Linked DNA regions of Oryctolagus cuniculus. The protein of the gene in region 4 interacts with the protein of the main gene of each other region in a pairwise test. Links are inferred from orthologs where the notes say so. Each region holds a gene or a part of one and is shown on either strand. Other genes may lie near its edges. The genes, in order: MAFG, ATF4, MAFK, NFE2L2, TNNT1, MAFF and WW domain-containing adapter protein with coiled-coil.

Evidence for each region.
Region 1: the proteins of NFE2L2 (region 4) and MAFG interact in binary tests that used the Homo sapiens proteins (3 or more experiments, as listed by UniProt). The link is inferred for Oryctolagus cuniculus from reciprocal best matches to the Homo sapiens genes NFE2L2 and MAFG.
Region 2: the proteins of NFE2L2 (region 4) and ATF4 interact in binary tests that used the Homo sapiens proteins (3 or more experiments, as listed by UniProt). The link is inferred for Oryctolagus cuniculus from reciprocal best matches to the Homo sapiens genes NFE2L2 and ATF4.
Region 3: the proteins of NFE2L2 (region 4) and MAFK interact in binary tests that used the Homo sapiens proteins (3 or more experiments, as listed by UniProt). The link is inferred for Oryctolagus cuniculus from reciprocal best matches to the Homo sapiens genes NFE2L2 and MAFK.
Region 5: the proteins of NFE2L2 (region 4) and TNNT1 interact in binary tests that used the Homo sapiens proteins (3 or more experiments, as listed by UniProt). The two-hybrid records come from large-scale screens. The link is inferred for Oryctolagus cuniculus from reciprocal best matches to the Homo sapiens genes NFE2L2 and TNNT1.
Region 6: the proteins of NFE2L2 (region 4) and MAFF interact in binary tests that used the Homo sapiens proteins (3 or more experiments, as listed by UniProt). The link is inferred for Oryctolagus cuniculus from reciprocal best matches to the Homo sapiens genes NFE2L2 and MAFF.
Region 7: the proteins of NFE2L2 (region 4) and WW domain-containing adapter protein with coiled-coil interact in a two-hybrid assay, tested with the Homo sapiens proteins (2 studies listed by BioGRID and IntAct). The two-hybrid records come from large-scale screens. The link is inferred for Oryctolagus cuniculus from reciprocal best matches to the Homo sapiens genes NFE2L2 and WAC.

Annotation. Positions count from the first base shown.
Region 1 is NC_091448.1:998,383-1,002,676, forward strand, and holds the start of MAFG (transcription factor MafG), read left to right. Parts: upstream 1-1,494; 5' UTR 1,495-1,692; intron 1,693-1,769; exon of another isoform or gene 1,770-2,014; intron 2,015-2,144; exon of another isoform or gene 2,145-2,609; intron 2,610-4,294. UniProt on the Homo sapiens protein: Since they lack a putative transactivation domain, the small Mafs behave as transcriptional repressors when they dimerize among themselves.
Region 2 is NC_091442.1:115,755,002-115,758,635, reverse strand, and holds ATF4 (cyclic AMP-dependent transcription factor ATF-4), read right to left. Parts: upstream 2,421-3,634; 5' UTR 2,217-2,420; intron 1,769-2,216; 5' UTR 1,668-1,768; coding exon 1,451-1,667; intron 1,362-1,450; coding exon 553-1,361; 3' UTR 501-552; downstream 1-500. UniProt on the Homo sapiens protein: Transcription factor that binds the cAMP response element (CRE) (consensus: 5'-GTGACGT[AC][AG]-3') and displays two biological functions, as regulator of metabolic and redox processes under normal cellular conditions, and as master transcription factor during integrated stress response (ISR).
Region 3 is NC_091450.1:36,677,886-36,682,009, forward strand, and holds the start of MAFK (transcription factor MafK), read left to right. Parts: upstream 1-1,324; 5' UTR 1,325-1,520; intron 1,521-1,704; exon of another isoform or gene 1,705-2,042; intron 2,043-4,124. UniProt on the Homo sapiens protein: Since they lack a putative transactivation domain, the small Mafs behave as transcriptional repressors when they dimerize among themselves.
Region 4 is NC_091434.1:63,900,451-63,903,950, reverse strand, and holds part of NFE2L2 (nuclear factor erythroid 2-related factor 2), read right to left. Parts: intron 2,809-3,500; coding exon 2,542-2,808; intron 1,965-2,541; coding exon 1,875-1,964; intron 1,261-1,874; coding exon 1,069-1,260; intron 655-1,068; coding exon 1-654.
Region 5 is NC_091449.1:3,704,975-3,709,263, reverse strand, and holds the start of TNNT1 (troponin T, slow skeletal muscle), read right to left. Parts: upstream 2,801-4,289; 5' UTR 2,496-2,800; exon of another isoform or gene 2,404-2,495; intron 1,083-2,403; exon of another isoform or gene 666-1,082; intron 605-665; exon of another isoform or gene 299-604; 5' UTR 288-298; coding exon 256-287; coding exon of another isoform or gene 252-255; exon of another isoform or gene 246-251; coding exon of another isoform or gene 220-245; exon of another isoform or gene 209-219; intron 176-208; coding exon 162-175; intron 1-161. Other genes in the region: TNNI3 (troponin I, cardiac muscle), read right to left, coding at 3,398-3,481. UniProt on the Homo sapiens protein: Troponin T is the tropomyosin-binding subunit of troponin, the thin filament regulatory complex which confers calcium-sensitivity to striated muscle actomyosin ATPase activity.
Region 6 is NC_091442.1:114,968,797-114,973,048, reverse strand, and holds the start of MAFF (transcription factor MafF), read right to left. Parts: upstream 2,801-4,252; 5' UTR 2,634-2,800; coding exon 2,548-2,633; intron 1-2,547. UniProt on the Homo sapiens protein: Since they lack a putative transactivation domain, the small Mafs behave as transcriptional repressors when they dimerize among themselves.
Region 7 is NC_091444.1:99,039,024-99,042,523, forward strand, and holds part of WW domain-containing adapter protein with coiled-coil, read right to left. Parts: intron 1,634-3,500; coding exon 1,511-1,633; intron 435-1,510; coding exon 286-434; intron 1-285.

The DNA.
Region 1 (4,294 bases), on a different chromosome or scaffold from region 4:
TCTGCCTGTCAGACAGCTTTCAACAACAGCAATTCAGCCTCATCTGCCGTGGCCCAAACGCTGCTGCCCCCGTATTTCAGGGACAAGTGTCCAGGACCCTGTGTGGGGAGTCTGCCAGGGGGTTCTGGGACAGATGAGAGGACGTGCGTGGCTGGGCCCCCTGGGCCCTGGAGCTGCACCGGAGTCAGGTCCCGGCTGCCTGGGCCATTCCAGTGACAGGACACGAGCCCCCCACCCAGCACCGCACAGGACAGCTGGACCCCTGCACCCGAAGAGCTGCCCCCTCACAGGACAGAGCGTGGGCACCTGCCCCTCTCTTGTCTGCTCTCAGAACTGACCCCAGGGCCCAGGGCTTCTCTCTCTATAGGAAGCAGTCCCAGTACCTACGGCCCCCACTGGCCTCGCCCGTGGCCCCGGGTGGCCACACCCATGCCTGCCTGTTGCGGCTGCTGAGTGGGGGTGGGTGTGTGGGGGTGGGGAGTGGACGGACGTCCATCAGCAAAACTGAGTGGGAGATGAGATGAGTTTCCCAGGCATCTCCCACGCACTGGACGGCGGCAGGGGAGGGCGAGCTGCCTGGGTGGTCAGCAGTGATGGCCCCCGGCCCCAGGACCAGGCGTCCTGGTCCAGCGTCTCCCAGCACAGAGGAGCGAGGGCACACCCGGCTCTCCGTCACGACTAGCCCCCTGCCCTCGACCTCGGGCCTCAGACCAGCGGCCACGGAGCTCCGATTCCCACCGCGAACCCGGCTCAGGGCTGCCCCGCCCCCCGGAGCCTGGACCCAGCGTCCAGGAGGGGTGAGGAGCAAGCTCTGAGACCAGGGACGCACTCGTGGGGTGAGTCGCTGCGTTTTCTACGGAAAAACCCGAGGCTTTACAAGTCGCGCCGTCCCGCGTGGACACCCCACCCCGCCAGGAACCCCGCGCAGCCCCGCACAGCAGCTCCAGGTCCTCCTGTGGGCCCCTCCGCGGCGCCCTCACCTCCTCACCTGCCTGGCTGTGCACCTGAGCAGGGAACAGGGCCGAGAGCGCGCCCCCACCCCGCCGCGCGGCGACTTCCTGGGGGAACGATCGGCGGCGGGGGCGGACGCGGACCCGGGGGCCGGCTTCAGACAGGTGCCGGCGGCCCGGGGGACGGCCCGCGCCGTCCACTCCTGGCGGGCGCACCGCGGGGCCGGGACCTGGGCCCTGCACCCCCGGGGTCGGTCTGCACCCGGACCTCGGACTAGGGCCTCCCGCGCGCTCGCACCGCGCCGCGGCGGGGGCGTGGTCCGGCCAGGGCGCGCGCCCGGACAGTCCCGCGAGCCCCCGACGCGGCCCGGGCGCGGCGCGCGTTGCCAGGGGCGACGGCGCCCGGGCTGCGCAGGCGCAGGGCGACGCGCCCCGCCGCCGCCGCCGCCGCCGCCGCGCCTTCCCCTTTAAGCTCCGGCCGGCCGCGTCGCCGCTTCATGAATGGAGCCCACGTGACCAAACATCATGTGACGTCTGTGGAGCGGCGGCGGCGGCGGCGGCGGCGGATCCCGAGCCTGGTCCGGCCCGGCCTTCGCAGAGCGCTCGGCCCGGCGCGCGAGGCGGCGAGACCCCCCCCGAGCCACGGGCCCGGACCCCCGGCGCCCGCCCCAGCTCCGCGCGGCCTCGGAGCGCGCGCGGCTCCGCCCCGGCCCCGGCCTCGGCCCGCCGGGCCCGCAGTGTGGTGAGTGTGGCGGGCCGGGCGGCGGGGGCGGCGGCGGGGCCCGCGCCGGGGCGGGGCCGTGGCCTGGGCGCGCCGCGCGCCCTCCGGCGGGCCGGGCCTCGCCTTCCCCTGCCGTCGGGAGCCGGGCTGCGGCCCCGGCCGCGGGTGCCCGGGCGCACCGCCGGCGGCGCGGCGGCGCGGCGGCGCGGGCGGGGCGTGCGCGGAGCCCGCTCGGCGGAGGCCGGGACGTCCCGGGGCGAGGCGCGGCGGCGGCCGGGGGGAGGGCGGGGCCGGGCGCGGCCGGGGGCGCGGGGGCGCGGGGGCGCGGCCGCCGGCTCCTCAGGTGTGTGGCGGCCGCTGGCGGCGCGCGGGGCCCCGGCGGCCGGGCGGGGGCGGCGGGAAGACCCTGCCCGCGGGCCCGGGCTCGGCTCGCGTGCCAGCGCCGCGACCTGCTGAGTCATCAGCATGAGGTCACTCGGAGCTGCTGCTGGCGCGGGGACTGGGCGCGGGGCCTCGGGACTGGAGGGGCCGGCCCGTGGCGGGGGAGGCACACGTGAGGATGAGCGCGAGGCCGGCGTGGCCAGGCGGAGGCCGAGGCCGCGTTGCGGGCTTCCTGCGGGGCAGAAGTCGAGCCCCTGGCGAGATCGGCCCTGGGCCCACGTTCGGGGCAGTCCCCCAAACTGATAAACAGCTGGGGGTGACGGGAGGGGAGGGGTCTGGTGGGCCGAGCTGGCGGCTGGAAGCCCCTGGATGGGCAGCCCCTGGCGTCAGAAGAAAGAGGAGTGAGCGTGGGGCCGCAGGGGCGGCGGCGGGCAGGGAGCAGGCAGCAGGACTTCGCAGGGCAGCCAGCGCGCTGTCGCGGCCGGGTCCGCTGGCCCTGGGCTGGGGCGAGGCTGCACGCGACAGGAGCTCAGGATGCGTCCTTTGGGGTGCAGCAGGTGGGTTAGTGTGGACGCACAGGCGGGAGAATCGGGTCCCAGACACCCAGGGGTTGTCCCCGGCGAGGAGGGGTCCCAGCATGGAGTGTGCTGAGCCAGTGTGGTGTCTCCGCTGTCTGGACCGGCGGCTAAGAGGCCAAAGGGTGGTGTGGCCGCGGTGGGGGCTGGGGGCCAGGGAGGTGGACAGAGCTCACCTTCCCACTGCTTCCCTTGCCCTGGGTTCGTGGCCGTCGCGTGGTCGCACCCAGACACCGCGCAGCTTCCTCGGGGCTTCTCCGGCACGGGTGCTCTGGCGTGAATGGAGCCGCAGGACTCGGGTCGGGGTCGCAGAGCGTCGGGCGGCCTGCCTGGGACTTGTGGCCGCTGGGGTGTGCCGGGCAAGGGTGCCCAGGGGAGCTGGTCCTGGAGGAAGGGCCGGAGCTGCCCTTTCCTCTCCTAGCTCTCAGCTGAGTGGGTGGCCCAGGGTCCCCCGTGGGTCAGGCAGCAGGGGACAGCGGCTCTAGCTCTGAGCAGCCCTCAGGACGGAGAGGATGGGCTGGGGGGGCTTCCACTCAGTGCAGCCTCCGGGACCCCCCCTCTGGCTGGGACAGGTGCCCCGAGCCAGCCTTCTCCGCCATCCCCAGGGGCCGCCTCTGCCCGGAAGGCTGGAAGCGCCGGCTTTGCCGAGGCCCTCCCCCACGGCGTGGGTGCCTGCACACGCACACGCACACGCACACGCACACGCGTGCACACCTTTGATCGGAAGGCGCCTGGCTGCACTGTGCTGAGCTCAGGCCTTCTGCAGAGGGCGGAATCTGTTGAGGAGGCACTTTTCCCAGCCCAGCGCCGCGCTCGGCACTTTTCTGTGTGGTCCCCTCAGGAAGCCACCGCTGTCATTGTGCGGTCGTGGGGGGAGGGACACCCCCGTGCCCAGGCAGCAGTGAGGGCCCGTCTCCTGGTGGGCCGGGGCCGGCTTGCGGGCCTCCTGACCTCCAGCTGTGGGCACCCCATCCCCATCCTTCTTGGGGTCCCGCCTCCTGGCTCGGCCCCACCCTGCCTCCTGGCTGCAGCCTGCCTCCTGGCCAGGCCTGGCTCCTGTGGGGTCTCCACCCTGGGAACATGGGCCGCCTGGCCAGCCACACTGTGGTTCCCCGGGTGGGTGAGCCGGCCAGGAGACTGTGGCCTTTCTCCCCGTCCACCTGTTTACCTGCCTGCATCTAACCTGCAGAGCAGTGGGAGGGGCGGGCTCCGGGAGGGGTTCCTGGGGTGGGAGCTTCAGGTTCCTGGCAGGGGTTCAGAGAGCGGACAGTGCAGGGTGGTGCTCGAGGGGCAGCTGGCGGGGGAGCGGTCTGGGCACTGGGCTGTGGGTGCAGGCCCAGGCAGGGGACCACAGAGCAGTCAGTGACTGCCACCTGCCTGTCAGTGAGCAGGCCCCGGGGCCCTTGTGAAACACCCTGGCCAGGGTGGGGCAGGGGCGCAGGAAGCTGCAACCCAAAGCCACACGGTGGTTACTCCACGGGCCGGGAGGCGGCCAGAGCGGGCTGGAGGGGCCCTCGGGCCAGGCTCTCAGTCGGGTTGCCTGCTGCTTCCAAGGTGTGGGGCTCCCCAGCTCTTCCCGCCATGGGAGCCGGGGCCAGCTAGATGACTCGCTCCCAGCTGGAGGGCCCCGGGAAACTGGGAGACCCCTCACCCTGCTGTCTGCCCCA
Region 2 (3,634 bases), on a different chromosome or scaffold from region 4:
CAATGGGTCCCGGTCCCAGACTGTGGCTGTCCCTAACGGCTGGCCCAGAACAGCGGGGTCTGGCCCCCCAGCTCAGGGCCAGTGCTGGGGCATAGCAGGTGAAGCAGCCTGCAGTGCCAGAACCCCATGTGGGTGCCAGTTCGAATCCCAGCTGCTGCAGCTCTCTGCTGTGGTGAGTGCTTGGGCCCCTGCATCTGTCAGCTCCAGGCTTCTGCTGCAGCCCAGCCCTGGCTGCCGTGGCCATTGGGTGTGTGAGCCAGCAGATGGAGGACCGTCTCCAACTCTGCCTTCGAATAGACAGCTCTCCCATGATCTGTGTGTGTGCAGGCTGGAGCCAGTGACCACCCCCACACACACACACAGGAACACCGAACAAGGAAGTTGCAGCCACTCATGGAGTGAGTGCCCGCCCCAGACCAGATCCCACCATCCCGCGTGGGACTCTTGTTGCCCGCCCCACCACGCCCAGAGGGTGTGAGCCACAGGACAACTCCCAGGAATGCTTTCACTACAAAATAATTTATTAACAGCGGAGCCTCCTGTGCGTGCGCCCTAGGCGGGGACCCTCCTCCTGCCGCGGGCCGCCCGCACCTCCTCCAGCAGGTCCTTGAGGTACTGGATCTCCTTGGCCAGGCCGTCGGCCCTCTCCCGCAGGGCCGCGTTGCGCTCCTCCAGCCCCCGGCACTCGCCCGCCAGCGCCTCCTGCTCCGCCCGCTTCTTCTGCCGGTAGCGCGTGGCGGCCGTCTTGTTCTGCTCCATCTTCTTGAGCTTCTTCTCCAGCTTCTCGCCCTTCACGCGCGCCGCCGCGGCCGCCGCAGGCTCGTAGGGCTTGGGGCGGGCCGGGGCGGGGGGGCCCCTGTGCGGGGAGCCCCTGGGGGTGGGGGCGGAGGGGCTGCGCTGCGGGGAGCCCGGGCAGGACTCGGGGCTCATGCAGACGCCGCTGTCGTTGTCGGAGGGGCTGTCCTCCTCCTTGACGCCCTGCGGGACCACGGGGCCCAGGCCGGGCGACTCGGGCTTCCGGTCCCCGTCCGCGATGTCCACCTCGCTGCCCAGCTCCAAGCTGAACGACTCATCCGGGGAGGCGGCCGCGACCCCCAGCGACAGGGGCAGGGGCTGCAGGAAGGTGCAGGGGGCGACCTGCGGCAGGCTCGCGGGGAGGGGGCCGAGCGGGCTCCCTGCCTGGGGCGGCTCCTTGAGCGCGTCCAGGGCCAGGGGGGCGAAGAGGTCGCACGAGTCGTCCAGCGTGGCCAGCAGCTCGTCGGGCACGGCCTCCAGGTCGTCCAAGCTCAGCAGGGCGTCGAAGTCGAACTCCTTGAGGTCCACTTTCTCCAACATCCAGTCCGTCCCGGAGAAGGCGTCCTCTGCGGGGGCGCGAGCGAGGGCGCGTGAGGCCGGCGCCCCCCCCCCGACACGGGCGCCCCCTCCCACCCCCACCCCCCGCGGCGCTCACCCTTGCCGTCGGCGGGGGCGCCCAGCAGCCCGTCCGCCGCCAGCCATTCCGAGGAGCCCGCCGCAGCCTTGTCGCCGGGGGGCCCGGGAGGCTTCCAGGGCGTGGCCACCTCCAGGTAGTCGTCCAGGAGCCCCAGGCCCTCCTCAGCCCCCAAAGCCGCCTGGTCGAAGGGGGACGCCAAGTCCCCCGCCAACCCCGCGCTGTGCAGGAAGCTCATGTCGGCCGTGTCGCGGGGCTGCGCTGGAACCGGGGCAGGGGCTCAGCTCGAAGGTGTCTCTGTCCGTGACAGCAACGCTGCTGCTGGGTGCCGTGAGGAGCCTGCGGGCGAGCGGCAGGGGCGCCATCAGGGCGGGGGCCGGCCGGGCGGCAGGTGCACAGCGGCCATGGCCGCCCCCGCCGGGGCCGGCGCCCGGCCCGCCCGCCCGGCCCCGCCCCGTGACTCACCCCGCGCCGCCTCCCGCCGCCATCTTGGCCGCCGCCACGTTTCGCGGGGCGGCCACCGCGACCCCCGCCGGCGCAGAGCGGGGGCCGGGGCTCCGAGGACAGCGCGCCCCCACCTCCCCGGGGACGCGGGCGCCGGGCCGCGCTCTCCCGACCCCGCCCAAGGACACGCAAGCAGGAACCACGCGTCCCCGGCGCTCGTAAAACCGCTTCCGCCTCGGCGACGCGGCCCCGACCCCCGGCCGCAGGCCGCGCCCAAGCCCAGGCCCAGGCCCAGGGCCCGCAGACGCCGGGCCCCGGCCCCCTCGCCCGGCCCGGTACTCACGCCATGGCTTAAGCCGCTGGGGGTTGCCGCTGCAGAGCCTGGTGCTGCTGCCGCCGCTGCAAAGGCCAACGCTGCCGCAGGCACTGCTGCCTCTAATACGCCATGGTGGCCGCGGCCCTGCGGGACGGGAGGAGGAAGGGCACGGCTCGCAAGAGATCTACATCGACGGGCGGGCGCAGCGGTAATGGCGGCGGCGCGCGGCCCGCCGGGCTTTTATAGACTTGGTCGCCTCCGAGCCGCATCACAGGACGCATCCTTCCGCCGCGGCCATGTGACCCGCGCCTCCTGCCCACTCCCCGGCGTCCCCACCACTTTCCTCCCCCGAGCTTTTATGTCCGAGGCGTAGCCATGTACAGAAAAGTAGTTTACTTTCAAGATCTCACGTCGGGAAAAAGGCGCACTACTTTACAAGGCGTCCAAGATCAAAGAGTCTCGTCCTTTCCCCCTCGGATGCCCGGATGCGCGGAGGGATCTCTCTCAGGGGCGGGGCGTGAAGAGCCTTTCATTCCAAGGAGGCTTTTTATTGTGAAGGCCGAGGCCGCCCGGCTATCGCGCGAGACGCTGGCGGGGAGCGCGCGTCGAGATGATTGGCTCAGGCCTGAGGAGTCATATATACCTTGAGCTCCTATTGGCTCAGGGCCCGAGGGGGGCGGGCCACTCGGCGAAGGGGCCCGGGTCTGCGCGGGAAAGGGCGGGAGCGGCCTGGCGTGCAGCCGTGCCTTTGGTTGTAGCCTCGGCGGCCGCAGCGGTAGAAATCAGCGCCCAGCGGCCTCCGAGCGAGCCCGCCGCGAGCGGGCCCGGGCCTCGGGGCCGGGGAGCCTGCCGCCGTCCGGGGCCGGCTCTGCGTCCTCCCGCTGACCTCCGCGAGCCGCTGGCCAGCCTGCGTGTCCGCGGCGCCCTTTCTGCTGCAGGGCGTCGCTGCGGGGACGCCTCTGGCCTCTGCAGGCTCAGCCCCGCTGCGACCCCGGGTGGTTCCCACGAGCTCCGGACAAGGCCCGGTGGCCCTGCGGGGGACAGGAGTTCCCGGGGAGCCGGGCCCCGGCCCGCAGAGCTCCACTCCCGCGTCCCTTCCGCGAGCGCTGCTGGCTGGACAGACAACCTGCCCTGGGGCCAGGGCCACCCTTCCCAGGGTGCACGGGCAGCCCCGGCGCCCCCGTCTGTTGGCGGACACTGGCCGTGCTGGGGCCCGGCCCGCGCGCGGGACGCGCTCCCGCCACGCTAACTCGGGGTCCCCACTCCCGGCTACCCCTGTGGGGTCACTCTGCTTCCTCAGGGGGCTCCTCCCGGAACTGACCGGCGGCCGAGGCCTAGGGCGCGGCACTCTGCCCGGGGGTCAGGAGGAAGGCGGTGGGGGTGGGACTCCCGCGCCGCCACCGCGACCCCGCATCCATCCCGGGAGTCCCGCCCGCTCCCTGCTG
Region 3 (4,124 bases), on a different chromosome or scaffold from region 4:
TCCACTCCCTGGCTCTCCGGGCCAAGGGGTCTCAGGACCACCCCTCTCCAAGCGCAAACCTGGGCCTCTCGCTGGCTTCCAGGTGAGGGACAAAAGCAGGCAGAGCGGCCCCGGCCCCTCCCAAACCCCGGCAAGACCCCGGGCTGCGGCTGCTTCCTGGCAAACGGAGAGCAGGGCACGAGGCCAGGCCGGACACCTGCCCGCCTGAGAGGAGGCACCTGCCGTGGCCTGGGGAGCAGGCAATGGCGCAGGGGCAGTGAGGGCGTCCGGTCAGCTCCCCCATGTCTGCAGCGGCCAGGGCTGACCGGAGCGGGGGCCGGTATCGGAACCCGGCGACCCCACACCCAGGCTCAGGAGGCCTCACTCCCTCCTGCTCTCGTCCAGCTGCCCGTGCAGCCCGCAGAGACCGGCCTGCCAGACCCGGGGCACTCAAGCACCAGTGTGCCCATGGGAAGCATGGCGGCCTGGTCACCTCCGGCACGCAGGGGTGTTCCACTCGGTCCCCTCTCCACCAGCCCTGGCCCCCCTCACCGGGGGGAGCTGGTTCTCAGAGCGGGCAGGCCCCCTGGCCATGGCAGCTGCTGAAGCCCCCGGCCCAGGGCCACCCCCACCTGCGGATTGCTGTACTCACGGGATCTGGGGACCAGGGCCACCCCGACCTCACCTGGTGCCTACCTCGCGAGGGCCTACATGGGGTCTGTGCCCCCAGCTGCCCCCTCCGCCTAGGGCCGCGTCCATGGAGGAAAGCTGGTCCTCCCGACCCTGTGCTGCGGCCCGCGGGGGGTCGTCCGGCCTCTATACCTGTGCTGTGGAGTGGCAGCTGTGACCCTGCGCTCGCCCCAGCGCACCTGGGACCCAGCAGGGACCCCCTGCAGCGAACAGGTGGGCGGCGGGGGCTCCCCGCAGGTGTGACCTGAGGCACAGACCGCACGCGGGGCATGCGGAATATGGGGTGCGGGACGCCATCGTCGTTCAGGGTCTCCCCCCGCACCCCGACTCTGCAGAGGAAGGAGCGCAGGTGCCCCGCTCAGGTGCGCGCCACAGGAGCAGCCGGGGGCGGGGCCGAGGAGGGGGCGGGGCCGGGAGGGAAGGTCGCTTTCTGGGGGTGTGGCCGTCCGGGGGCGGGGCCTGCGGGCCGGGGCGGGGCCGGCGAGGGCGGGGCCTGGAGACGCGAGCGTGGGAGGAAAGGGTCGCGGTCTGGGGGCGGGGCCGTGATGGGACTCGTCGTCCGCGCACCACGGGGCGGGGCCGGCGAGGGGGCGGGGCCGGCCGGGGGCGGGGCCTGCGGGTGGGGCGGGGCCGCGGCGTGACGCGCGCCGACGCGATCCCGGAAGCGGTGTCAGATGCTGGGAGCCGGCGGCGCGCGGGCGGCGGGCGCGGGGGGGGAACTTGTTGTTCTTCGCGAAGTCGGAGCCCGAGCGCGAGGCGGCGGCGGCCGAGGGGGAGCACGGGAGTGAGCGCGAGCGCGAAGAGAGCGCGTGCCCGCGAGGAGCCGCCGCGCGCCCGCCCGCGCGAGCCAGGTGAGCGCGGCGGGCGCGGGGCGCGGGGCCCGTGGGGGGCGGGGGGCGCTCGGAGCCACGCGGCCGCGGAGTCACGGCTGCCGGGGCCCGCGCGCCCGCCCGGGCCCGGCGCTGAGAGCCGGGGGCGCGGACCCAGGCCCGGCCGGGGCCCTAGCACCTGCGGGGCGGGACGGCGGCGCGCGGGGCCGCCACGTGCGGGTGCGGGGCCGCGACCGCGTGGTCCGGGGGCGGCAGGTGTCTGCCGTCGCGGAGCGGGGCCAGGCGCGCCTCGCCCTCGCCACGTGCCCCGGCAGACTCGGACCCGAGCTCCGGCAAGTGTCTGGCCCCGACAGGACACGGTAAGTCCTGGTCAGGTGCGGCGGCGCCCGGGAGCTCTTACATAGGTGTCGGCCCGGCCGGTGGGTGGGGTCTGGGGGCCGCGCAGGTGGGCGGGACGCACCTGCGGGGCACGGCTCGGGGGAGGACCTCCTGGTGGGAATGCCCGAGGGGGCCTGCCCCGAGGACCCGGCCCGCAGTAGAACGGTCAGTAAGGCAGTCCCGGGGGCCAGGATCCCAGGGAGCGGCCCCGGTGAGGCCGCGGGCGCCCGGGACGGCGGGAGTCGGTTTACAGCCTGGGGCGAAGCTGTCGCCGCGGACCCAGAAGAAGCCGTGCCTGTTGGCGGCCCGGCGGCTCCGGGTCTAAAGGTTCCTGGAGTGGACTTTCTGGGTTCCGGGTGCAGTCCGCACGGGAAGTGGCGATCGGGCCAGCTGGGAGCGCTCTCCCGGGCAGTAAACAGTGACTCACGCGCTCCGCCCGCCTGGATGGGAGGCGCCGCTCCCGCACGCACGCACGGGGGGCTGCGAGCCGGCCTCCGTTTCCTCTTTCTGAGCTGCAGGAAGCGGGAAGTTATCTGACAGTGCAGGGCAGGTGGGGGTGGGGGTGGGGGTGGGGGTGGGGGTGGGGCGCCACCCCGGGCCGCGGGGTCCCCTCGCCCCCTGCCAGGCTCGCCCGCCTGTTCTCGCCGCCGGCTCAGCTCCGTGGGGTCTTGGGGGAGAGCAGGTGCCTCCCACGAGGAAGGTAGTGGGGAGAACCTTCTGGAAGAAGCAGCGTTGGGGGAGGGCTGGTGCCCGGTGCACCTGGGAGCTGTCAGGAGGGACCCACCCACGTGCAGCTCAGGGCTGGGGCTGAGCGGGGCAGCTGCCCCTTGGGGGCGAGGTCACGGAGTCTGGGTCAGCACACAGACAGGGGAGAGCCCGGGGTCAGGCTGAGGGCGAGGCTGTGCGGTGCAGCGGGTGCCCTGGGGTGGGGTGCCCTTACGCGAGCTGCACACAGGTGAGGGAGGCGGGCCGGGGCTGTGTGTGCTTTCCCAGGGCGCGTCCCCGGCTGACCACGGAGCTTGGGGCCTTGCTGAAGCGCCTGGGTGGCCAGCAGAGGGCCGGCTCCGTGAGCGGGGCTGTGTCAGCCTCATCCCCACGCACCTCTGCATGTAGCAGCTTCCTCAGCCCAGATCAAGGCGACTGGACATCCTACAGGTCCGGGGCTGCCGGCTGGGGGCACTGCGGGCACCTGCCCGCCGAGGGGCCGTGTCCCGGCCAGGCTGGGGTGCTGGGGGGGTACAGTGGGCACCTCCCACCTGCCCACAGAGGGGCCGTGTCCCGGCCAGGCTGGGGTGCTGGGGGAGTACGGTGGGCACCTCCCACCTGCCCACAGAGGGGCCGTGTCCCGGCCAGGCTGGGGTGCTGGGGGGGTACAGTGGGCACCTCCCACCCACCCACAGAGGGGCCATGTCCAGGGCCGTGCTGGGGGGCACCATGGACACATCCCACCTGCTCATAGAGGGGCCGTGGCCAGGGCCAGGCTGGGGGGCACCATGGACACATCCCACCTGCCCACAGAGGGGCCATGTCCAGGGCCAGGCTGGGGGGCACCATGGACACATCCCACCTGCCCACAGAGGGGCCGTGGCCAGGGCCAGGCTGGGAGACACCATGGACACATCCCACCTGCCCACAGAGGGGCCGTGGCCAGGGCCAGGCTGGGTGCTGGGGGGCACCGTGGACACATCCCACCCGCAGAGGGCCATGCTGGGGGGCACCGTGGACACATCCCGCCCGCAGAGGGCCGTGTCCAGGGCAGGGGCAGCGGGTGTCTCTGCGGTGGGGCCTCGTCTTCAGTGGGGTGCGAGTCAGCGTGTCTGTGGCCCCAGCTGCGGCTGCGATTGGCTGACGTGTTTACTTGACAAGTGTGTGTGGCCCCAGCTTCCGCGCCGGGGCGGCCACATCCTCCGTGTGTGGATTTGCATCTGTCACGGTTGCTGCCTGGGTCTTGACTGCCGCTCCCGGTCCCGCCTCCTCGCCCCCCACTGGACGCCCGCGGGCAGGACGGGGCAGGTGGGACCGGGCGTGGGTCGCAGCCCCGGACCAGAGCCAGAGCTTCGGCAGCAGGCAGGAGAGGGCGTAGCCGGTCACTGACGAGGGAGGCTTGGAGCCCTGTGCGGCTCGGGGACTCCGGGGGCCTGAGTGCTGGCCTCTGCGGAGCGGGTCCCTGCCCCCAGGAGCCCCCGGCCGCATCACTGTCCCTGCACTTGCCCGGCCTCTCTGCCGCGGCCCCGGGCGGGCGCCGGC
Region 4 (3,500 bases):
GGCATTGTGCACTGGAGCACTGTACCCCCCAGATGGTGACAGGGGTTGTACTGTATCCCCAGAAGAATGTATTGGCTGTGTTTTAGAAGCATTCTGTTTGACAACCCCATGGGTACTGTCTAGTTCTTCCATTTCAGAATCACTGAAGCCAAGTGGTGTGTCTCCACAGACAGAAGATTCCACTGAGTGTTCTGGTGATGCCATGCTGGGACTTGTGTTCAGTGAAATGCCAGAGTCAGAGTCGGCGAATTCTGTGCTTTCAGGGTGGTTCTGGTTAAAAGCTTTACAAAGGGATAGGTCAGAAACATCAATAGGCCCATTTAGAAGTTCAGAGAGTGACTGGCTGATGGGAGCAGAGGACATGCTGTTGCTGACACTGGGTTCAGCTATGAAGGCAGCATAAAATTCATCACCAAAATCTGTGTTTAATGTGGCATTTGAGTTCACGCTCAGCTGGGCGGGGTCATCTGCGGAGAGGATGCTGCCGAAAGAATCCTCAAAAGCACTAAGAAAATGCGCACTGCAGTTATCTTCTTTTTCCAGTGAGGGAGCCGACGAGTAGAAATGATAATTGTTGTCAACTTCTGTCAGTTTGACTTCTGCACTTGGAACCGTGGTAGTCTCAACCAGCTTGTCCTTTTCAATATTAAGACACTGCATGGGAAAGAAGTTTATATGATGTAAATCAAGATTAAGTACCTTTAATAGCTGGTAATCCAGGACTGATGATTGAGTTAGGTAAACTCACTCCCTATCCTCATCGTCTCCAAAGTGTTCTGTGATTCAAAGATAATTCCCATTTTTACTAGATAGTGACACCATTGCATACAATTTTCAGAGTTCTAGATCAGACTTCAGATTTACAATGTTCTGTCCTTAAGCTATCCAGCCTATTTAACAACAAAGTACATCTTAAGTGAGCATGGGTAGCTTTTATGAGTAATTTCAAAGGACTCTCCAATCCTTCCTTTAAGTAGGTGACATGTAAATTACAAATTATCATGATGACTAATGCAAAGGTGTTGAATATAAAATAGCATGTCCAGTACTACGTTAGATCTCAGTTACCTGTAATTCTGGAATGGATAATAATTCCTCCCAAATTTGCTCAATGTTCTGTTCCATATTGTTTAAATCAGCAACAGCTACCTGAACAAAAGAAGTTTCAGGTGTCTGAGCCTGATTAGGTGCAGTGAAGACTGGGCTCTCGACGTGGCTGGGAGTATCAGGAACAAGTGACTGAAACGTAGCTGAAGAAACCTAAAATTGACAAGGTATTTATCTCCATGAGTCTGCCATCAATGGGAGATGAGTAAGCTCCAAGGCACTATCACAACACCTTATATTTCTCCACTCACTGACCAGTTATGACCCCTATTTCTACAGAACAAGTATTTTTTCCTACCCAACTGACACCAAATTTATTCTTTTCTGGCTTTTTTTAATCCTATGCATTTGAAGGTAAACATCAAAATGGGTAAGAACTGCGTTAGGATTTAATTTGGACCTATCTAATATCTAGTGCAATACTTCAAACACAACAGACTTACGGAAATTGCAAACTGAACAAGTCTTGTTTATTCCCCAGCTTGCTCTTCACTCACCCAAAAAATTTATAAATATTTATAGCAAATAAGTTGCTCCATAGTTGTGCTGACTGATATTACTGGATATACAGAAGTAAAGGTTTTTGGTTTTGTATTGTATGATTTTTTTTTAATACCTATCTGCTGAGGTTTACCTGACAGCATATTTCCTTGATTAGAAATTTCCTAATATTTTAAATTTTCTTTTAAATGGAAACACAATAAAGGATTTATACAGGTTATGTTCGGTGTAGTTAGGGAGTTCTGCTATTATCCAAATTTGTATACCTCATTGTCATCTACAAATGGGAATGTCTCTGCCAAAAGCTGCATGCAGTCATCAAAGTACAGAGCATCTGGTTTGGGAATGTGGGCAACCTGGACCAAAAGGAAGAAAAACATCGTTAAATGTTCCATTGTCAAGCTCAATAATGATGATTTCAGGTTCGTAACTGATGTTCACAGAATGTTTATAATGTAGTTAAGTAACTTTTACTTTAAAAATCACTTTGGTACACAGACTTGAACCAGATTACCTAGGATCAAATCTTAGCTACCCTGATTTCATGAGTGGTCTCGGCAAACTATTTTGCCTTTTTCAGCTTCACTGCTCTTCAGTAGATAAAATGTGGATATGACACTTAATCCATTTAGTTGTGTGGATCATCAGTTAATGTATGGTTTTAGAGCAGCCACAGGACCGTAAGTAATCCCTGCCACCTAGTTCTGTTCCATCTGTTTGGTCCTAACAGGACATTTCTATCATTTACAAAGTTCTTTTCATGTAATAACCCTGTAAGGGAAGTGTGTCAGGTACTGCACTCTTCGGGAGGCTGACAGGGTTATGAAGACAGACACAGTAAAAGCCAAAATGAACTGAAGAATACTTTAATTCCTTGGTCAATATTTCCTTAAGCCTTGCCATAGACTTTCCCAAGACCTGAGTACTCTGTACCTGGGAGTAGTTGGCAGATCCACTGGTTTCTGACTGGATGTGTTGGGCTGGCTGAATTGGGAGGATTTCACCTGTCTCTTCATCTAGTTGTAACTGAGCGAAAAAGGCTTTCTCTTGCTCCTTTTGGAGTTGTTCTTGTCTTTCCTTTTCAAGTTGTTTCTGTTTTTCCAGCTCATACTCCTTCTGTCGCTGACTGAAGTCAAATACGTCTCGACTTACCCCAAGATCTATATCTTGCCTCCAAAGTATGTCAATCAAATCCATGTCCTATGTTTAAAACAAAAAAGGAGAGAGATCATGGTTAAGATGGTCCACCTAAATAAATCCACGTTCTGCCATTGTTGATGGTGGGGGAGATTACAAATGAACTCTGAATAAGCACACAGATGCAGTGTTGTAGAAGAGCACTGTTCATTTCATTCGAAGAAATTGCTCATTAAAAACAACCTGCAAACATACAGTCATCCATTGTAATCACAATGTGCTCTGGCAGATGGCGGAGATCACTAAAGGGCAGTTACAAATGTTGCCTATTAATGTGTTTGAATTCAAAGAATCTCATACTTGTTTTACAGAATATAGAAACTAAAGCAACCACTCCAAGTCACTGGCTTATTATGAGAAACAGGGTTTAGAAAACATGACTGAATACATGGAGTCTTCTTGAAAGCTGCTCAGCAAATACCCAGTTTACAAGATGTGTGTGTGTGGGAGAGAGAGAGACGGGGGAGAGAGAGAGAGAATCCAGCAATCATGAACTATGAAAACTCTTCGGCATCCCCCACACTGGACTGATTATCTTCTCTGCACCATTCTTGCTACTCTTCTCTGTGGCTCACTTATTAAAAGTTTCCTTTTGACCTAGTTTTTGTTCCTGAGGCACAAATAAGATGGCAAACAGAAGGGCTACCAAAACACTGGAAAGGGGTACTGAGTATCCACCAGGGCTCCTTGAGAAA
Region 5 (4,289 bases), on a different chromosome or scaffold from region 4:
ATGGCTGGGGTGGATGATGGGCGATGGCTGGGGTGGATGATGGGCGATGGCTGGGGTGGGTGATGGGCGATGGCTGGGGTGGACGATGGCTGGGGTGGGTGATGGGCGATGGCTGGGGTGGGCCAGCGGCTCTGTCCCCGGGCGGCTTCCTCTCTGCGCACCCTCTGGCTGCTCCCTGGGGAGAGATGGGGGTCAGAGAGTCTGGGGCGGGGAGGGGGCTTCTCCAAGCCCCTCCCTCCTGCCATTGTCACTCACTCCTCATATTCCTGCTCCTCGGTGTCCGACATCCTGCTGTGACCTGCGCCAGAGAGAAGAGGTGACGGCTGTGGGGTCTGAAGGGGGAGGCCCAGGGACCCCTGGTTCTGAGGGAGGAGGTGGGGCCTGCACCCCTGGGTCTGAGGGAGAAGGCCTGGGGCCCCCGGGTCTTAGGGAGGAGGGCCTGGGGCACTCCTGTGTCTGAGGGTAGAGGGCTGGGGGATCCCCGTGTTTGAGGGAGGAGGACCGGACTGGGGGGGATCCCTGGGTCTGAGGGAGGAGGGAGGGGCGTGGACCCCTGGTCTGAGGGAGGAGGGCTGGGGGACTCCCATGTCTAATGGAGGAGGGCCTGGGGGGACCCCCGTGTCAGGGAGGAGGGCTGGGGGACTCCATGTCTGAGGGAGGAGGGCCTGGGGGGACCCCCGTGTCTGAGGGAGGAGGGCTGGGGGACTCCCATGTCTGAGGGAGGAGGGCCTGGGGGGACCCCCGTGTCTGAGGGAGGAGGGCTGGGGGACTCCCATGTCTGAGGGAGGAGGGCCTGGGGGAACCCCTGTGTCTGAGGGAGGAGTTTCTGGGGGACCCCCATGTCTGAGGGAGGAGGGGCCTGGGGGGATCCCTGTGTCTGAAGGAGGAGGGCTGGGGGACCCCCGTGTCTGAAGGAGGAGGGAACAGGGGGGACCCCCGTGTCTGAGGGAGGAGGGCTGGGGGTACCCCCATGTCTGAGGGAGGAGGGAGCTGGGGGACCCCCATGTCAGAGGGAGGAGGGCCTGGCCCCCAGAGCCTAAGCGCTGGGGACAGCAGGGCCTGGAGCTGTGGGCCTGGCAGAGCGGCAGCCCCCGCCCCCCAGCACAGCTGTCCCCTTTGTCTGAGGACAGGAACCTGATCCCCCTGGATTAGGAGGGGATCTGAGACAGGGCCTGCAGACAATAGCAGCCCCACCCCGGCAGCTATTTTGGGGGGATGTCCACAGAGGACATTTCCTAAGAAGGACTGGGGGGGCCTTCTGGGACAATGAGTCACCACCTGTCTCCTCCACTCACCTCCACATGCACACACACACACACACACACACACACCGCGTCCCTGAGACTACACACACACACACACACACCCCGTGTCCCTGAGACCCTCCACACCACACACACACACACACACACCCCGCGTCCCTGAGACCCTCCACACACACACACACACACACACACACACCGCGTCCCTGAGACCCTCCACACCACACACACACACACACACACCCCGCGTCCCTGAGACCCTACACACACACACACACACACACACCCCGCGTCCCTGAGACCCTCCACACCACACACACACACACACACCCCGCGTCCCTGAGACCCTTCACACCACACACACACACACACACCCCGCGTCCCTGAGACCCTCCACACCACACACACACACACCCCGCGTCCCTGAGACCCTCCACACCACACACACACACACACACACACCCCGCGTCCCTGAGACCCTCCACACCACACACACACACACACACACACACCCCGCGTCCCTGAGACCCTCCACACCACACACACACACACACACCCCGCGTCCCTGAGACCCTTCACACCACACACACACACACCCCGCGTCCCTGAGACCCTACACACACACACACACACACACACACCCCGTGTCCCTGAGACCCTCCACACACACACATGCACACACACACACACACCGTGTCCCTGAAACTACACACACACACACCCCGCGTCCCTGAGACCCTCCACACCACACACACACACACACACCCCGCGTCCCTGAGACCCTACACACACACACACACACGCACACCCCGCGTCCCTGAGACCCTCCTGGCCCAGGCTCAGAGCCCTTCCAGTCCCACCCCCTGGATAACCCACTTGTGGGCCCGGCTACCCCACGGCCCCACACCGTCAGGATGGGCACCCTGGGGCCCAAGCTCAGGGCTCAGCACCACACCCCGAGCTATGGCGCTACAAATGCTGAGACCCGATTCCCAAAATCCCACACTCAGACCCCTCCCCGGTCCTGATACCCCCAGAGCTGGAGACCCCCAAACCTGCCACTCAGACTATCTGACAGCCGAGCCCAGAACACCCCTCCTGAGGTCCCTGCAGACTCCGGAAGACACCCCGCATTCGGCACCCAGGCGCCCTGTGCTCTGAGCCTGCTCCTCCCAGACCCCAGCTCTCGCGCTCCGTCCAGGGCACTCCGTGGGGACGGCAGAGCCCCGTTACCTAAGGCTGGGGATGCAGACGCTGGATCCGCAGGCTGAGCCTTGCCTGGCCTGGCCTCGCTGAGGGCTCTGACGCACCCCGCGTTTATAGGGGTTTATAGCTGCAGGCTGAGCCCCGCCCCTGGGGCGCGGGGTGGGGGGGAATTCCTGAGCTCAGAGGAGGCCCAGCCCCTTCTGGCTCCAGAGTCAGGGTCCAGGCATCTCCTGGCTGCTCCAGGGCCCAGGCCTCCCCATGGGTGGTCTCTGAGCCTCTGTCTGTCCTGTGTGTGTCCCTGTCCCCGCCCCCACCCCTTTGTCTGCCACCAGGATTCCGCTCTGGTGACAAAAGGCTCTAAAACCGGGAGGCAGGTGTGGGGGGGGGGAGAGGATGGGGTGACAATGAGGCTGGCAAGCCCTCCCCCCAGTCCAGCCATGACCTTGAGAGAGCCCTGGACAGCAGGCTTCCTCCCCCCGGGGACCTGGCTGCCCTTCTCAGGGTCTCCCAGGGCTCTGTCCTTGTCCCCCTCTGGCCCCTGGGTGTGTGTCCTGTCGATGGCACTTCCGGGCGGGCCTCTGTCTGGTGCTCGGGGTCCCTGGGCGAGTCTGTGGCTGTCCATGTCCTCGTGTGTCTTTCTAGCTCCTGTCGGTCACAGGTTCCCTGGGAGTCTGTGCCCGCTGTCTTCCGTCTCTCTCTCTCCTCCTTTGCGTCTTTGGCTCAGTCCCTCTCCCGTGGGCGTCTCCGTGGGTGCTCCCCGTCGGCCTTGTCCTTGGCCTCTGCGTGCACCCCACGTGCAGCCATGAGCGCCCCTGTCGGAGGCGCAGGGCGGCCCCGCCCCCGTTCCCCCCAGTGTCCAGCACACCAGGACGCGGCCACTGCAGTTCGGAGCAGCTTTATTCAGCAGGGCGGGCCGGGCCGTGCGGGGCTCAGCCCTCGAACTTCTTCTTGCGACCCTCCATGCCGCTCAGCAGGTCGATGTTCTTGCGCCAGTCTCCCACCTCCCGGTTCTCCTGGGGGTGCGGTCAGAGGTTAGGGTCTCCTCCTGGTCCCCTCTCCCTAAGCCGCTGCGGGCAGGACCGCTCCACGCTGCCTGTCCCCTACAGTCGGCCGAGTTCTCTTAACTGCCTCTTGTCCCAGTCACACACTTCCTGTGTCATGCACTTCATGTCTGTCCCCTCATGCACTTCCTGCCTCCCCTCATGCACTTCCTGTCTGACCCCTTATGTACTTCCTGTGTCATGCACTGCCTGTCCCCTCATGCACTTCCTGTCTGACCCCTCATGCATTTCCTGTCTGTCCCCTCATGCACTTCCTGTTCCCTCATGCACTTCCTGTGTATCCTCCTCATGCACTTCCTGTCCCCCTCCTGCACTTCCTGTCCCCTCATCACTTCCTATGTCCATTATGCACTTCCTGTCCCCAATGCACTTCCTGTATCATGCACTTCCTGTGTGCCCTCCTCATGCACTTCCTGTCCCCTCATCACTTCCTGTCCCCCTCTCCTCCTCATGTACTTCCTGTCTCTGTCATGCACTTCCTGTCCCCCTCATGCACTTCCTGTCTGTCCCCTCATGCACTTCCTGCGTGTCTCCCCCATCACTTCCTGTCTCCTCATCACTTCCTGTCTGTCATGCACTTCCTGTCCCCCTCATGCACTTCCTGTCTGTGTCCCCTCATGCACTTCCTGTGTGTCTCCCCCATCACTTCCTGTCTCCTCATCACTTCCTGTCTGTCATGCACTTCCTGTCCCCCTTCCTTTGTCTCCTCCCAGCATCCTTCTCTCTCCCTCATGCACTTCCTGTCCTCCCTACCTACTCT
Region 6 (4,252 bases), on a different chromosome or scaffold from region 4:
CACAGCTCACAAGTGGGCACTCCTGCCCCGGCCCAGCTGTGATCTGACTTGATTTCTGCAAGTTCTCCGGGGCCAGCGCTGTGGCGTAGCCGGTAAAGCTGTCACCTGCAGTGCCAGCATCCCACATGGGCGCAGGTTCAAGTCCCGGCTGCTCCACTTCCGATCCAGCTCTCTGCTATGGCCTGGGAAAGCAGTGGAAGATGGCCCAAGTCCTTGGGCCCCTGCACCCGCGTGGGAGACCTGGAGGAAGCTCCTGGCTCCTGGCTTCAGATCGGCACAGCTCCGCTGTTGCAGTCAACTGGGGAGTGAACCAGCAGATGGAAGACCTCTCTCCCTCTCTCCCTCTCTCCCTCTCTGCCTCTCTGCCTCTCTGCCTTTCCTTGGCTCTCTGTGTGACTCTTTCAAATAAATAAATTAAAAAAAAAAGTTTTCCTTCAAGTATAACCTACATACAGAGAAGTACACATAACACACGTATAGCCAAGGACTTCACAATGTCCCCAGCACCCCATGGACACAGCGCGGGGCCAGTCCCCAGCCCTCCCCAAGCACAGGGGGCGTGGCCCAGCAGGGCCCCAGGCAGCGGGGCCCCAGGTGTGGCAGCAGCTGTTTGCCCAGGCGTGCACCTGGCACTGGGGGCGCAGAGGTTTATAAACACTCGAGGACGGCACCTGCCGGGGTCAGCGGTCACTGCTCTGGGACAGGCAAGGCCTCCCAAGGCCCCTTGAAAGCAGCTACCCTGTCCCTGCCTGGTGACCAGGCCTCCTGCGGTGTGACCCGAGCGCGCTCCTGGGCCAACCCCCGTGAGGAGTGGGAGAACACCAGGAAGCTGCCTGGTGACTGGAAGCCCGGCGTCCTAGACGCTGTCATTACAAGACCCCAGGAGCTGGAGGCAGGGCGTGAAGGGCCGGGGACAGGCCCTGGCTCCCTGACACGGCCGGCAGGACCCGCATGTGTGCTGGGGACCCTGGAGGAATGCAAGAGCAACAGGCCCTGGCCCGCACACGCCGGGGCTTGTGGAGGGCGGCCCGCAGAGCTCTCTGCACCACGTGCCGCCCCGCGTGTGACCCAGGGCGGCACGTCCATCAGGGCAGCTGTCCTCTCCCAGCAGCCTCCACGGCGCCCATCCCAGTGGTCTCCACGGCCGCAGCGGTGCGCCCCAGCACTGGCTGCTCCTCCAAGGGACCAGGGAGCTCCCTCCGCCCGGCATGCCTGCTCCCGGGACAGCCACGGAGCTTGCTTCAGATCCCATGTTCCCAGCCACTGGTGCCCACGGCGCGTGCACACACACAGCCTGTCTCCCTCCCCAGCCTCGGGTTTCTCTAGAGCACCGTGGGCGTCGCTGATGACCGATCCTCCTGCGTGTTGCGTCTGTGGAATGGAGGTCCTGTGGCCCACAGCTGCCTCCCGGGGCTTGGGGCAGGGGCCTGCCAGCCCCTCCCCGCCCACACGGCCAGGGGGTCCAGCAGCTCCAGGGAAAGGAGGAGCGGTTCAGGGGCGGGAAGCTGGCACCCACAGGGATCTCAGGCCAGCGGGCTCTAGGGACTTCCCGTGTGGTGGCCAGGAGGGGCGAGGCCCAGGGTCCCAGGCCAGCGCTCAGCAGCCGTGGTGTCCTGTGCGGCTCCCCGGTGGGGAAGGCCTGCTTCCTGGTGGAGCTCTGAGCTGTAGCCCTCACTGCTGAACAAGTGGGCTCCGCCTGGGCCCGGGCCTCAGTTTCCCTGCCTAGCCCCTCCAGTCCCTGTGGGCTCGGGCCTGGCTTGCCCAGCAAGCTGTCTCTGGAGGCCTCCATGCCTGCCCCCTCACTATCCCTCCTGCCTGGCCCAATCATATGGACCCCACACTGCCCTGACCAGTCACTGACATGTCCAGACCCCGCCCTCCGCCACCCTGCCCGTCAGAGCCACACACGGCCCTGCCACATAGTGCCCCAGGGAGCTTCCTGCCCTGTGAACCCTCCTGTGCCACCACCAGACTAGAACCTGCTGTGGCTCCCACTGTCCTGAGGCCAGAGGCCGGCCCATCCCCAGGCTAGTGCACAGCCTCAACTGTGCACCCCAGCCATGTGGATGTCTTCCTCTGACCCCACCCGGGCACTCCCCCCCCCCTCCTCTGTCGGGCAGGCTCCTCTTCATCCTTGTGCCCTCCTCCTCCTCCTCCTCCAGGAAGCCCTCCCTGACCTTTAGGCCTTGTTAGGCACCACCCCCCACCTCCACCCCCCTCTCCCCACCACACAGCCATGGGCTGTTTCCTTGTCTCTCCACCAGGCAGGGAGCTCCAGGGGCTGAACCAGGATGGCTGGCTGGGCGGAGTCACTGACACCGTCACCCAGCTGGTCAGCGTCCAGGCCTGGCCAGACACAGTCTGCGAGAAAACCTCAGGCCAGCCCCCAGTTCCTCCTCCTTCCCATCTGTGTCCCTTCCGAGGGGTAGAGACGGCACACGGGTGGGGCGGGGGGCGGGGCACGGCAAGGGAGCAAGGTGGGGAGTGGGAGACGGAAAGAGCACTGAGTGGGGGCACGCCCTGTCCGTCTTCTCCAGGCCACCTGACCTTGGCCGAGACTCCACCTCTCCGGGTGTCCACTCTCCTCTGCGCGGTACCTGCCTGGCAGGTTCTGGTGGAGCGGAGGGGTGCATGCAGTGGCGGTCAGCCAGCGCCCGGGAGGGCAGGAAAGCGAGAATCCGAGCTGCCGGAGCCGGGGCCACAGCCAGCCCTGGCAGCGCTCTGCCTCAGCAGCTCCCAGCTGCCCGGGGCCAGCCCAGGGACGGCCCTTACAGCCCTAGGCCCCACCTCCTCACTCCCCCAGGGGGCGGCGGAGACCCAGAGAGGCCATCGCTTGCCTGAAGTCCCGTGGGCACCTGTGAGGCCTGGACTGAGTGCCGGCTCCTCTGACGACTGTGACTTGATGCCTGGCAGCCCCCTGGGCCACACAGCCAGCACGGGGTGGAGTTCAGGACGGGGTTCATGTGAGGTTCAGGACGGAGGCCACCCTGGTGCCCACTGCCGGGCTTCGAGGGGCCAGGCTTTGGGCGGGGCCTGCCAGGACACCCGCATCCGGCTGCACAGAGGGGCCGGCCGCGAGGGGACCCCTGATGATGGGGTGATCCCTGATGATAGGCACAGCGCGGAGACACTGGCAGGGGCCACACGCTCAGGAGCCGCGAGTGGCTGGCTCGCCCACCACACCCCTCTCCCCCGCCCCTGCCCACTCATGGCTCATCAAGCCCACACGTACTCCCAGGAAGTGACACAGAGCCTCTGAGTCCTTCTCAACACAGCCCTGCCTGCCCCTCTCGCTGCTGGGGCTGGCTGGGACACGGACCCCAGGAAGTCCTCCGCACTCCCCTCCAGCCCGTCGGCTCCCGCAGGCCCCCGTGCCCAGGGGATGTCACGGAGGGAAAGTCACAGAGGGAAAGTCCCACAGGCTGCCGCGCTGTGCTGGGAGCCCTGGAGCCTGGGGCTTCCGGCCCTGCCGGCCTGGGGCTTGCACAGCAGCAGAGCCGGCCTCGGCCGGGTGGCTGCGGGTGGCAGTGGGGGACTGGCGCCCCGGGGCCTGCTCCCACCCCGGCCAGCGCTCTCTCAGGGCCTCCCTTCCTGGCCTCTTCTCTTCCCTCGGAGGCCGGCAGAACCCCTCCCAGGGTCTGCAGGTTCCTAACCTTCTTTGGAGGCCTGGGGAGTGAGCTTTCTCTTGGGGACTGACAGAGGCCTCGCCCAATCAGCAGCCAGCGGCTCTCGCGCGCAGCCCCGTCCCCGGCCCCCAGGCCCACCCCAGAGACAGCCTGGAGACGGCCCACCCACTGGCACGGCTCCTCCTGGCTGCCGAGCCATTCCGCTTGCGCGCTGTGAGGACACAGGGAAAAAATGTGTTTTCCTGGGTCTTGGCAGCTGGCGCTGGGGGCACTCCTCCCTGCTGGAAGGGGAGCAGGGCAGGGGGAACCAAGCACAGCAGGGAAGTGACGGCGGGTGGCTCCAGCCCGGGCTCTGCCCCCCACTCACATCCCGGCCTCCCCTCCCCGGCATGCCGACCGCCCCTCAGCCTGAGGTCCCGTTCCCACAGTAATGGCCTCCAAGCTAGTGGTATCCTCGGAGCACCAAGACCACCAGCGGAGGAAGGCCTGGGAGGAGGGTAAGGAAATCAGTGCAGGATTCCTGGAGGCGGGGGCGTGACAACACAAACTCCTAGCCCCTTCTGCGCTTGCACAGCCAGAGACCACTTCTCCTTTCGGATGGCCCAGGACCACAGCCGCCTCCACCT
Region 7 (3,500 bases), on a different chromosome or scaffold from region 4:
ACTTGAGAAGGAACTTTGAAAGTGAAGAACTGACCGCCATTGCTTAAGGGATCTGATGCAGTGATTTTCTCGGGGACTAGAAAACTAATATTAGCATGCATTTCACTTTTAGGCACTATTTTTAAACAGACTGAAGATAACTTCTAAGCTCTAGAATAAGATCTGTTTGCTGAAACTCACATTTTGGTTGCTCCCTCATCAAAATGCAGACAAATAATAAGGTTACTCAAAAATTAACAGTTGTTAACTTGGAACTTTTGCGAATTTCCCTCAGAAGTGACATACCTTTGGCTGTGATGAAACAGGAGGAGTACTAATCAAAGGCTTGATAGGGACTGTGTTAGTCTGAGGTGTGCTTATTCTTGGAGACACATATGATCTTGGGGATGACGCATCAGACGTTAAAGACATTGGAGACTGATTAGATGGCTGGGCTGTGAAAGAGCGATGTAACCGATTTTAAATAAACCAAGAACTCTTGTAGTATGTGGTGAAGTTCTCTGCATCACTCTACACACCCCCCACAATCCTAGGTCCCCCAAAGAACACTTACCCAACCAAGTCAGAAACCGACATCCCATGTGGACTCACTGACTAAAGGAGCTCTGTGTCAGAGCTCAGCACACCCAGCACAGGACTCCAAGGCCACAGCAAGGAGTTGAGCCTGAGCCTAACCTCACACAGCAGCCCCTCAGCCCCTCATTGCTTCGCTGAGGCTCGGGCACTGTCCTGTGCTCAGTCTCCTGCCACACAGCCTAGTCAAAGGACTTCAAGAGCCTTTGTGCTACTCTACTTGAAGAGGGACCACTAGCTCAAGGCAAGAACTGGGTTGTTTCCATATTATGTAGCCAAAAGTCACCTGACATCAGGACAGGCATTATGCAAATTGTTGCTTGAGACACCAGATCCCAGCTGGGCAAGCCTGGTTCAGCTCCTAGCTCCTATGCTTCTGATATACCTCCCTGCTAACGGTCCTGGGGGGTGGCAGAAGATGGCCCAAACACCAGGTTCCTGACCCCTACATCTGAGACCTGGATGGAGTTCCAGGCTCCTGGCTTTGGCCTGGCCCAGTCCCAGCTGTTGCAGCCAGTTAGAGAGTAAACCACTGAACAGAAGATCTCTTTGTCTCTCCCTGTCAAATATAGTGTGTGTGTGTGTGTGTGTGTCTGTATTTAGAATCATCTAACATCAACATGCCCAAACTTCAGCTCTTCAAATATGTAACAATGCTTTCTGAAGATTGAGGGCACATCGCAGTTTACCTTCAGCTTTGGAGTAAAACTCTTTTTATTAGCAACTTAAATCACACTACATTACAGATTTACAGTAATACCTTAAGATAAATTCCAAAGCATCATCTAAAAACATTAAAAAAGGGAAATACATATACTACTGTAATGCTAGTGTTACCAAAACCAGCTAAAATAAAGATAGCTAATCTTTAAAGAAGTTTTTAAGAAGTGCTGATAAAAGTCCAGACAATTGTAGACATTTCTAAGAATATGGATACCTTGTGTTGAGAGTTGTGCAGCTTGAGAGATCAGAGAGGTTATGTTGAAAGCAGACGGTCCAGCAGTAAGAAACTTATGAATTATGGACTGCAGTGAAGCCTGGGTCACAGCTGCTGTAAGAACTAAAAACATTATTTCCTAAATTCAAACAGAAGCACAGAGGCCTACAAAGCATTAATAACAACCTGGAAACTTGAACAGGACTGGGAAAACAGCTGAAGCACTTACAACTGGAACTCTTGAAATAAAAATCTAGAAAATGGGTGATGGCGTGCACTGGGGTATAGTGGGTCAGGCCATTGCCTGCAATGCCAGTGTCCTATACAGGAGCCGATTCCAGTCCCAGCTGTTCTTCTTCTAACCAGTTCCCTGCTAATGGGCCTGGGAAAGTAGCAGAAGACAGTCTAAGTGTTGGGGCCTGTGGGAGACACAGATTGAGTTCCAAGTTCCTAGAGCAGCTTGGCCTAACCTCAGATACTGTGGTCACTCGGGAGTGGAGGATCTTTCTTGGTTAACTCTACCTTTCAAATAAATGAATCTTTAAAACAAGAGAAACAGGGGTCAGCGCCGTGGCTCACTTGGTTAATCCTCCGCCTTGTGGCGCCGGCATCCCATATGGGTGCTGGGTTCTAGTTCCGGTTGCTCCTCTTCCAGTCCAGCTCTCTGCTGTGGCCCGGGAGGGCAGTGGAGGATGGCCCAAGTGCCTGGGCCCCTGCACCCGCATGGGAGACCAGGAGGAAGCACCTGGCTCCTGGCTTCGGATCGGCACAGCACCGGCCATAGGGGCCATTTGGAGAATGAACCAACGGAAGGAAGACCTTTCTCTGTCTCTCTCTCTCCGTCTATAAATCTACCTGTCAAATAAATAAGTAAAAAATAATAAAAAAGAACCAAGATAAACAACAAAGAACAAAAACCTAGAAGATGGAATATAATGGGTGTAAGGATTTAAGATGGGGGCCGGTGCTGTGGCATAGCGAGTAAAGCCGCTGCCTCCAGTGCTGGCATCCCATATGGGCACTGGTTCATGTCCTGGCTGCTCCACTTCCCATCCAGCTCTCTGCTATGGCCTGGGAAAGCAGTGGAAGATGGCCCAAGGACTTGGGGCCCTGTACCCACGTGGGAGACCCAGAAGACGCTCCTGGCTTCAGATCGGTGCAGCTCCAACCGTTGTGGCCAATTGGGGAGTGAACCAGCAGATGGATGACCTCTCTGCATCCCCTTCTCTCTTTGTAGAACTCTTTCAAATAAATAAATAAATCTTAAAAAAAAAATGCTGCCTGTTCCACTTCTGATCCGGCTTCCTGCTAATGTGCCCAGGAAGGCAGCAGTGACAGCTCAAGTAGTTGAGCCCCTGCCCTCCATGTGGGATACTAGGCTAGAGTTTCTGGCTCCTAGCATCAGCCTGGCTCAGGCATTGGCTACCTACCATGGCTGCATAGGAAGTAAATCAGAGAATGGATGATCCCTCTCTGTGTCACTATGCCTTTCAAATAACTAAATCTCTTAAAAATATTGAAAAAGATTAAAAATAATCTGAGGTAGATAGAAACTGAGTGAGTTTACAATAAAGTTAAATTAAGATCTACTATTAAAACTCCTCTCTGTGAGACTTTTTAGAAAACACTAGAGCGTGTTCTCAGAACTGTGGGTTATCCCAGAAACCTAGCCAATTTTATGGGAAGTGCACAGGGCAGTATATAAGATTAACCAGATAAATGGCTGTTATTTCATGATTTTTTTTTTTTTTTTAGAAAAGCAGCCACTCAAACCCTTCAGCTATATCCATTCCAACAACCTTTTAATTAAGAGTGAGCAGAAAAAAGATGGTACTTAGGAAACCATGTACTTTTGATACTTAAGAGGCCAGAACTAAACATTGTAATTAATCAGGAAAAATGGCAAAATTTTATCTAGTACCTACCCCTTTCTCAGAAAATGCTTCAAGTATTTTATATAACTACCTGAGCTCCTCATTTCCTAGTATTT